Linked DNA regions of Daphnia pulex. The protein of the gene in region 2 purifies or fractionates together with the protein of the main gene of each other region. This does not show direct contact. Links are inferred from orthologs where the notes say so. Each region holds a gene or a part of one and is shown on either strand. Other genes may lie near its edges. The genes, in order: DDB1- and CUL4-associated factor 1-like and COP9 signalosome complex subunit 8-like.

Region 1 (4,302 bases), on a different chromosome or scaffold from region 2:
ATTATTTTTTATGATTTACCTGCAATTGACCGCTGGTGAACAAGGGTAGTTTACCCATGATTTGGCGAGCATTTTCGCTGCGTGCAAGACCTAACAAGGCCTTACAGGCTAAAGCGCGAATCGAGTCAGCATCCGTAATGGGTGTTTTAACAGATAGAAGGTCCATTAACACCATGATTCCATTGTGGGATCGTACACACTCCCAAACTTGGTTGAGAACCTCTTCGCTCGTTCGACTAGCCTATACAAAGCACAATGCGTAAATACATAAATTCTACAATAAGAAAATATCATTGAAATTACCACGCTGCGTCTTTTGGCACTGCCATTAAATCTACCGACAGAACCTCCAACTCGATGGACGGGAGCACAAACGCAGTGAATGAGTACGCAAAGAGCGGCACGCTGAACTTCGGGGTCAGCTACAATGTCTCCTTCAGCTGCTCCAAGTAGAATATTAATGCCTACAGCATTGGCGTCATCCGGAATTTGAATACGATCACAAAATAGCATCTGAACTCTGAAAGAAACAGAACAAACGGCTAAAACATCCTGCAAAATAAAATAAAATATATTTAATAATTTAACTTTAAGAATATATTTAATTTCTTTACCAAAGCGCTGCGAACAGTCTCGGCACGTCCGGTAAAATTCCATAGGTAGGATATTGCAATAACTTGTAGAAGCAGAGGGATACCCCCGAGGCTAACAAATTCATTGACGGGTGACCAACTTGCCCGAAACGGAAGCAGTTCTTGAGCAGTGGTGATTAGATCGATAATTTGATCTGCATTAAGCTTGATTGCTTTGTAGGGAGGTGTTGACGGATGGGGAGAACCACCCATTTCACGAACTCTGATCCGTTGAAGATGTTCAACTTTCCCAGCCAGATGAATTTCAAAGTATCGTTTTAGCGCCGCACAGACGTGTCGAACGGTTTGGCGTGCAGCATGAGATTCGTCATCATCCAACAAATCACTTGCATCTTCCATTGAAAGTATTGACAAAGTGCTGATCATATTGTACAACCGGCGAAGACCATCCTGGGCGTCAAACTGTTCCAAAATAATGCGGAACTGAAACGATGTCCCAAAGAACATGGTAGCGTGACAACGTCCAGATTCGTGCGAACACTCCAGTAGCCAAAGAGCATATCGGACTAGCTCTTGAATGACGTGATCTGGTAAGAGACAGACTCGCTCCATGGCATCTTCGCAATACGCAATGTAATAAAGACACATGGCAACTCCAGTTGCAGCAATGCTCGGCCGTGGAATTTCAAGTAAGCGATGCAATCCCTGATGATGAATAAACTCGATGGCAAATTTTTTGTGACAAAGCAGTGCTCCGAGATATTTAAGTGCTTCGAACGATAAACGCGAATCTTGGGTCTCGTCAAAGTCGATGTAGTTAAGAATAAGGTCGAGCGCCTTTTGCTCGAACATGTGAACTAGTAACTCTTGATATTCACCCATGGGTGTTAAATATCGCAAGATTAAGATTTGCCGAGTTGAGTCCGTCAATGGATGCATTTGATACGTTCCTATAAATAAAGTAAGAAGTGTTAGTTTTTTAACTTTACAGACACACTTGTTGCATGGAGAATAATCTTTTACCGATGACGTATGATTCCATTTCGGCCCAAGACGAGTTGCTAGAATCATTCATAGCTGATCCATTCAGAGATGCATTTCCACTTTTTCTCTCTTTGGAACCTTTAATCCTGCCTTGAAATTTCTTTGCTTTGTTATTCTTTGGCAATTTTCCTTTATCGGAGGCTCCATCGGCCGGTTCTGGTCCAGGCATTAATTCAGCATCTTCATCCTTTGGGACCTTTGAACTGGAAGATGCTCGACTCTTACTACTCGCCGTATTCTTTGGGGTTTTGCTCGAGGTACTCGGTTGGTCGCTTGAAAATTTTGAAAATCTTTTGATTTTTCCGAGTTCGTCATTTTTCTTTTCTTCGGCACATCTCTTTTGGATTTCCCATAACCTTTTCAACATTAACGGTGCTAGATGAGCGTTTAACTCACGAAAGTTAGCAGCCAAGTCTTGTAGTTCCATCGCAGCAGCTAGCAAACCAGTAGCGTAGCTTTGAAGTGGTTCTGGACCTTTTTCTGCCCAACTAAAAAGTCTGTTGATCAATCCTTCTGTGTCTTGAAACACCACAGATACTTCTAAGCCTGGCATTAAATCTAGAACAAGACGAGCTGCAGCTGTATTGAGTTCCCTTGAATCTCTGGTAGAAATGCCTAATCTGGTCCAGTAAGTGTCACGTAAATAGTCTCCAACTAACTAATATTAAGAAAAATGAAAAAATAGCATTTATATTTAGAATGAAGATCAAGGCCAAGTAAATGAAAATAATACTTTTTGCATAAAAATTTCCTTCTTGAATATTATTTTAAGCATGTGTCCAAAGCTGCAATTTGGATTCCTAGAAGGGTTACGATCATCAAAAGGATCTGGATCCATTTTTAGGTAATTTTCTGTTTCTGTTTCCAAAAGTTCAGCCAGTCTTGAAAACAAAAATTAACATGATTAAGAAAAAAAAAATCTTGCAAAAAAACAAATAACACATACCTAGAAAGATAGGGAACAGGATCAAATGTTGGTGCTACATGATGTTCCTCAAATAACCTCAAAATAGCACTGACATCTGACATTTCAGTCAGATTTACGGTGTCGTTCGCCATACTGGATGACTTAAATGTAAATAAGAACAAATTAGCTGAAACTTATCGACGCCAAAATGAAACACAAAAGGACGTTTTTGGAACCCAATCACAATTTCACAACACGAGTAGAATAACTTCAATGGGTCACAAATCTTCACCATAAGTTAAAAAAAAACTATTGCATTATAAACAACAAAAACTCACCTTCGAACTGTTACGTCTATCTGAAACTACAACTTCCCTTATTAAAATTAAGTTTCTTTGAAATTGCTGCAGAAGTGTGCACCACGTTCTGTGTAATTTCTATGTGCAGACTTGAGAAAAAAACGTTGTCAGATTAATATTTTGGAAAATTCTTGCGAATTCCATTGTTTGCTTGTTTGAGGAAGTTAGACCTCCAGAATACAGATTTAAATGATAAAATTATAGCTAAAATATTTTTAAAATTTCTAGCAAATTTTCATATTACAAATTGAATGATATTTCTCACAATTGGATTTTTCAATAAACTTGACAACAATAGCTTTTCTTATGGTTACCTAGCGTGCTTAAAAAACTGTGTCTGCTTTTGTCGTCCTTTTTGTGAATCTTTGTGGACGTTTTTTTTTTACGATTGTTATGTGACATTTTCTTCAAATATTTTGTGGTTTGAACTTTGAAAGTTACTCACATTCTTGTCGTAAGTGTTGACACGTGTCGGATCAAAACGTCGGGCATAAGAGGAATAAAGTAAAAATGGCTGATGTTTTGGATATCTTGGAGCTAGGGAGACCGGGAACTCCAGAAGTGACGAAAGAAAGTATTATGGGAACGCAAAAACCGAAACCTAAATACAAACCTAAAAATGAAGTTTTACGTAAACCTGAGGGAATGGCACGAGAACTTTTCAATCTTTTGGTCAATGATAGTAAAGATGCAGCTCCTCTATTTCCAACTGACACAGGTAACAACTTTGTCTGTCTGCAATTTGTGTGCTTCCAGTAAGGGAAAGAAATATTTGTATGCCAAAGATTTCATAAATATTTCCAATCAGGTAAAGGATACAAGCAAGCAAAAGCTCATTTAGGTGTCCGTAAAGTGAGACCTTGGAAGTGGATGCCCTTTACTAACCCAGCACGGAAAGATGGAGCTGTATTTCACCATTGGCGTAGAGCTGCAGATGAAGGGAAAGAGTATCCATTTGCTAAATTTAACAAGGTTGATTTCCATCTTTTTTAATTGATTTGAAAATTTCTTTTATATAAAAATATTTTTTTTTAGCAAGTCCATATATTTTCTTACACTGATCAAGAATATCAATTACTACAACTTGATAATTGGACAAAGCAAGAAACAGATCATTTGTTTGACCTCTGTCGGCAATTTGATCTTCGTTTCACCGTTATTCAGGACCGCTGGGATAGTACACGATTCTCAAAAAGGTCAATCGAAGACTTGAAGGAGAGATATTATGATATCTGCAACATATTAAACAAGGTAAAGGATATTTGTGTCTGTGTTACCTAGTAAAAAAATAACTGTATATTTTTTTTTAAGGCAAGGCATACAACAGGACCAGAGCCAAAGAATATTGCTTACGATGCCGACAATGAAAAACGTCGTAAAGAGCAGTTAAAGAGGCTAT
Region 2 (3,176 bases):
GGTGGCTGTACCTATTCACGTACAAGATGAAAACGACGAAGATGATGACGGAAACAAAATGGAAGTCCATATGGATGGTGACGAAAACGCTGATAATGAGGTAAGCTCTTTCATGGATATTCTAATGAATTGACTTAATAAACATTTGCGGTTGTTTTTTGTTATGCAGGAAGTTCAGCAACTCCAGCTGATCAATGAGGACGAACTTATTCAAGAAACCGACGGTCTAGGTGCAGTGACTATGAGGGATCCTAATACTAATACCTTGTATGTGTGGTCTGTGTTCCCTAATTCTCAGACTAAGTGATCTATTGACACGATGACAAGCGCCCTAGTAATTTTTCTTCGCGAATTGAATCGCTTATTAATTGTGGGATCTGTCATTCCCTCTCTGATTCTGAAGATTATCTTTGCATAGAACTTTTGAGCTTCTCTTCCTATTCAACCGTTGCCCCTTGTACAGATGTTGTACCATGACACAGAACAGCAGTGAAAATACAACCGGGAAACAAAATATCACGTGGTATTTTCTCATTATGTTGAGAGTTGAAATTCGTTGCCGAGTCCGAGTGATCCTGGGGTCAAAGTTCCTAATTTAATTTTTTGAGCTGTGTTGGTTGCTATCAATTGAATAGTATGCAAATAATATGTAAAATAATTTCCGTTTCATCGATCAAGTTTATTTTCTTGGGTATAAACATAAGTAACGTATTCAGTTGATTTAATTTTCCAAGAACGAGACGAATTGGGTAAGACTCTGCAATTGCTCTTCATTCCGCATCAACGGAACGTTTTGGGCGGCTTGTCGCTTAGGTATGATTAATTTGGAAGCAGAATCACACGTCCAACCTTGCTCTTCCTGTAGCTTCGCGAGTAATTTTTCCGCATTCTCTGGATAATCAACATAACCAACCAATTCAGTGAAGGTGGTTGAAGTTATGGACAGATAAGCTTTCCCTAAAAATAATAAACACATTTCATTTTCATTGAAAATTTCTTTCAGGATGTTCTTGAACTATATACCTATGAGTTGAATTGATTTTTGCCGAAGATTTTCTTCCAGACAGGTCATGTAAGGTTCGATTGATGGAGGCCAACTTGTGTTTCTGAGAAGGCTGAACACTGAATTGTGCTCTTTTAACCATAGTTTTTGACCTACCTCCCAGATTTGGCCAAGTAAGGGGAATGCAGTTTTCTCTTCATTTGAGATTCGTTTCCAAAGAAATTTAGCATTGCATCTACATCAGCGTAAGAAAAACTCTTGATTATTAGCACCAGTCATTACAATGTAACTAATATACTTACAAGTCAAAATTACACAGATATATACTGAGTAACTGACTATGCAAATCTGCTAAAACCAATCCGCTCGCACCCTGAAGGAAAGACATCATTGCAATTAATTGTTCCAAGTTTTCGTCAACAAAACGACAACAGTACCTCGAGTTCCTGCTTCTCCAGTTCTTGGGTGGTACTTTCAAATAAAACAACTTTAGACGACATTTCCCCTTTTGAAACCAGGACGTATTTTATGAAATTTGTCGACGATTGTTTAAATCAAGTTCAAGTTACAGCCAACCTTCAGTATTTTGGCCGTACCTACAAGCCAACAGTGTGCAATTAATTAGACTGTTTTTGGTTTTTATAATGCTTTGTCGTCTGCCACGATCGAAGCAAGAAGTAACAATCATCGACACCAGGGGACAGTATATTTTCGAGAAATGGTCAAATGGAGAAATTAACAAATAAAAAAAAATTATGAGGGCGATGAATGAGATTTCCTCGTGTCAAACTTATGCAATATAATATAAATATGGAAAACCTTCTGAAAATGTGTGCCCTATAAAGGGAACTGGTTTTAAAGCTACATAGTAAAAACATATAAATACCTCTTTTTTTTCGGTTCTTTGTAGGGACCGTGGCCAACTATAAAAGGTTACAAAATTTTATGAACAAGAAACAAATCCAAGCGTCTTTACTCTTTACTTTAAATTTCCTAAAAATGAGGAAAGAATTCGACTTTTCTCCGGAAGAAGATTAATGTCCTTATCGAGCAATTTTTGGCTTTATTTTCTCGAAGATAATTTATTCAAACAACCTTGAAGTGTCAAGTAATTGTTTCACAAGTAAAAAAGTTAATGATTGGTAAATCTTAACGCAGAAATGTGGCGGCGGTTGAGAAAGGGTTTTCCTATTTTGATTTTCTCTTGCTTTTAGTTCGTCAGACTGACGTTAGTAGGCGGCAGTCTGTTTCATCACAGGTTCCCGCCGTTCTTTTATGGGAGGGGATGTGCTACAACCAATGGGAATTCTCAAAAGTCTAGCCCGAGGGGAATCCAGTCTCTCCCCGTTATATACAAATGTGTTGGGATATAGTTAAGGACGACGGGAAGGCCGTCCCAGCTCAGACACATTCTTGAACTTCACGTGCGAGGATATACCTCTTTAGTCACTGCTGAAAATACAAGTTGTAGAGCCAAATGTTTATTATTCGTCTACTCCCTTCTGCCAACAGATGAAAACGCTGTGAAACATGTGTCGTTAGTGTGTGTGTGTGTGCACAACTCGTGGCGATTATCTTCGTTTTTATTTTGTTCCAACTTTACACGTGTCTTTAAGATAAACATGATTCCCATCTGGGATAGTCATCTTTAACCGGTAAGATCAACATTTTTTAATGGCTTTTCATTTTACTCGAGTTGGGGGTTTGGGTGGAGAAAGAATAAATGGTGTCCTTGGTTAGAATTTTCTTCTGAACAACATGCCGGAATATTTTAACATTTCAAAGTCTCTCATGGGAATTGGGGCCCCCGTGTCTGTTTCTTTGCATATGGTTCGCGGTTAAAACAAGAACAGAATAGAACCACAAAAGTAGGAAGAAGAAGAAAAAAGAGTTTACACACTTGCGGAAGGAATACAAAGCCCCCCCATTTTCCTCTCCAAATAACATACGTTTCCTTATTTTAAACCTACGATGAAACGAGAAACATTTTTCGTTTTATGCAAATTTATTTTATTTTCGATTTGAAAATCAGAAGCCTCTTCTTACTCACGTCACTTGGCACTATAAAAATTCGAAATTCTTATTTTCTCCCCTCTTGCTCGATGAAAGATAGAGTATAAATAACAAAATGACTAACGCACAGAAGCAACCCAGACCTTTGCCAAGAGACGCG

What was found.
Region 1: the proteins of COP9 signalosome complex subunit 8-like (region 2) and DDB1- and CUL4-associated factor 1-like purify together in Homo sapiens (affinity purification with mass spectrometry; 4 studies listed by BioGRID and IntAct, counting the BioPlex papers as one, with this or other methods). This does not show direct contact. The link is inferred for Daphnia pulex from reciprocal best matches to the Homo sapiens genes COPS8 and DCAF1.

What each region holds. Positions count from the first base shown.
Region 1 is NC_060022.1:4,447,255-4,451,556, reverse strand, and holds the start of DDB1- and CUL4-associated factor 1-like, read right to left. Parts: upstream 3,012-4,302; 5' UTR 2,883-3,011; intron 2,706-2,882; 5' UTR 2,697-2,705; coding exon 2,584-2,696; intron 2,519-2,583; coding exon 2,371-2,518; intron 2,296-2,370; coding exon 1,617-2,295; intron 1,544-1,616; coding exon 615-1,543; intron 553-614; coding exon 304-552; intron 242-303; coding exon 20-241; intron 1-19. Other genes in the region: mRNA export factor GLE1-like, read left to right, coding at 3,414-3,621, 3,712-3,875, 3,939-4,154, 4,215-4,302. UniProt on the Homo sapiens protein: Acts both as a substrate recognition component of E3 ubiquitin-protein ligase complexes and as an atypical serine/threonine-protein kinase, playing key roles in various processes such as cell cycle, telomerase regulation and histone modification.
Region 2 is NC_060017.1:2,513,417-2,516,592, forward strand, and holds COP9 signalosome complex subunit 8-like, read right to left. Parts: upstream 1,650-3,176; 5' UTR 1,504-1,649; coding exon 1,441-1,503; intron 1,377-1,440; coding exon 1,306-1,376; intron 1,239-1,305; coding exon 1,024-1,238; intron 958-1,023; coding exon 722-957; 3' UTR 659-721; downstream 1-658. Other genes in the region: zinc finger protein 724-like, read left to right, coding at 1-100, 170-307. UniProt on the Homo sapiens protein: Component of the COP9 signalosome complex (CSN), a complex involved in various cellular and developmental processes.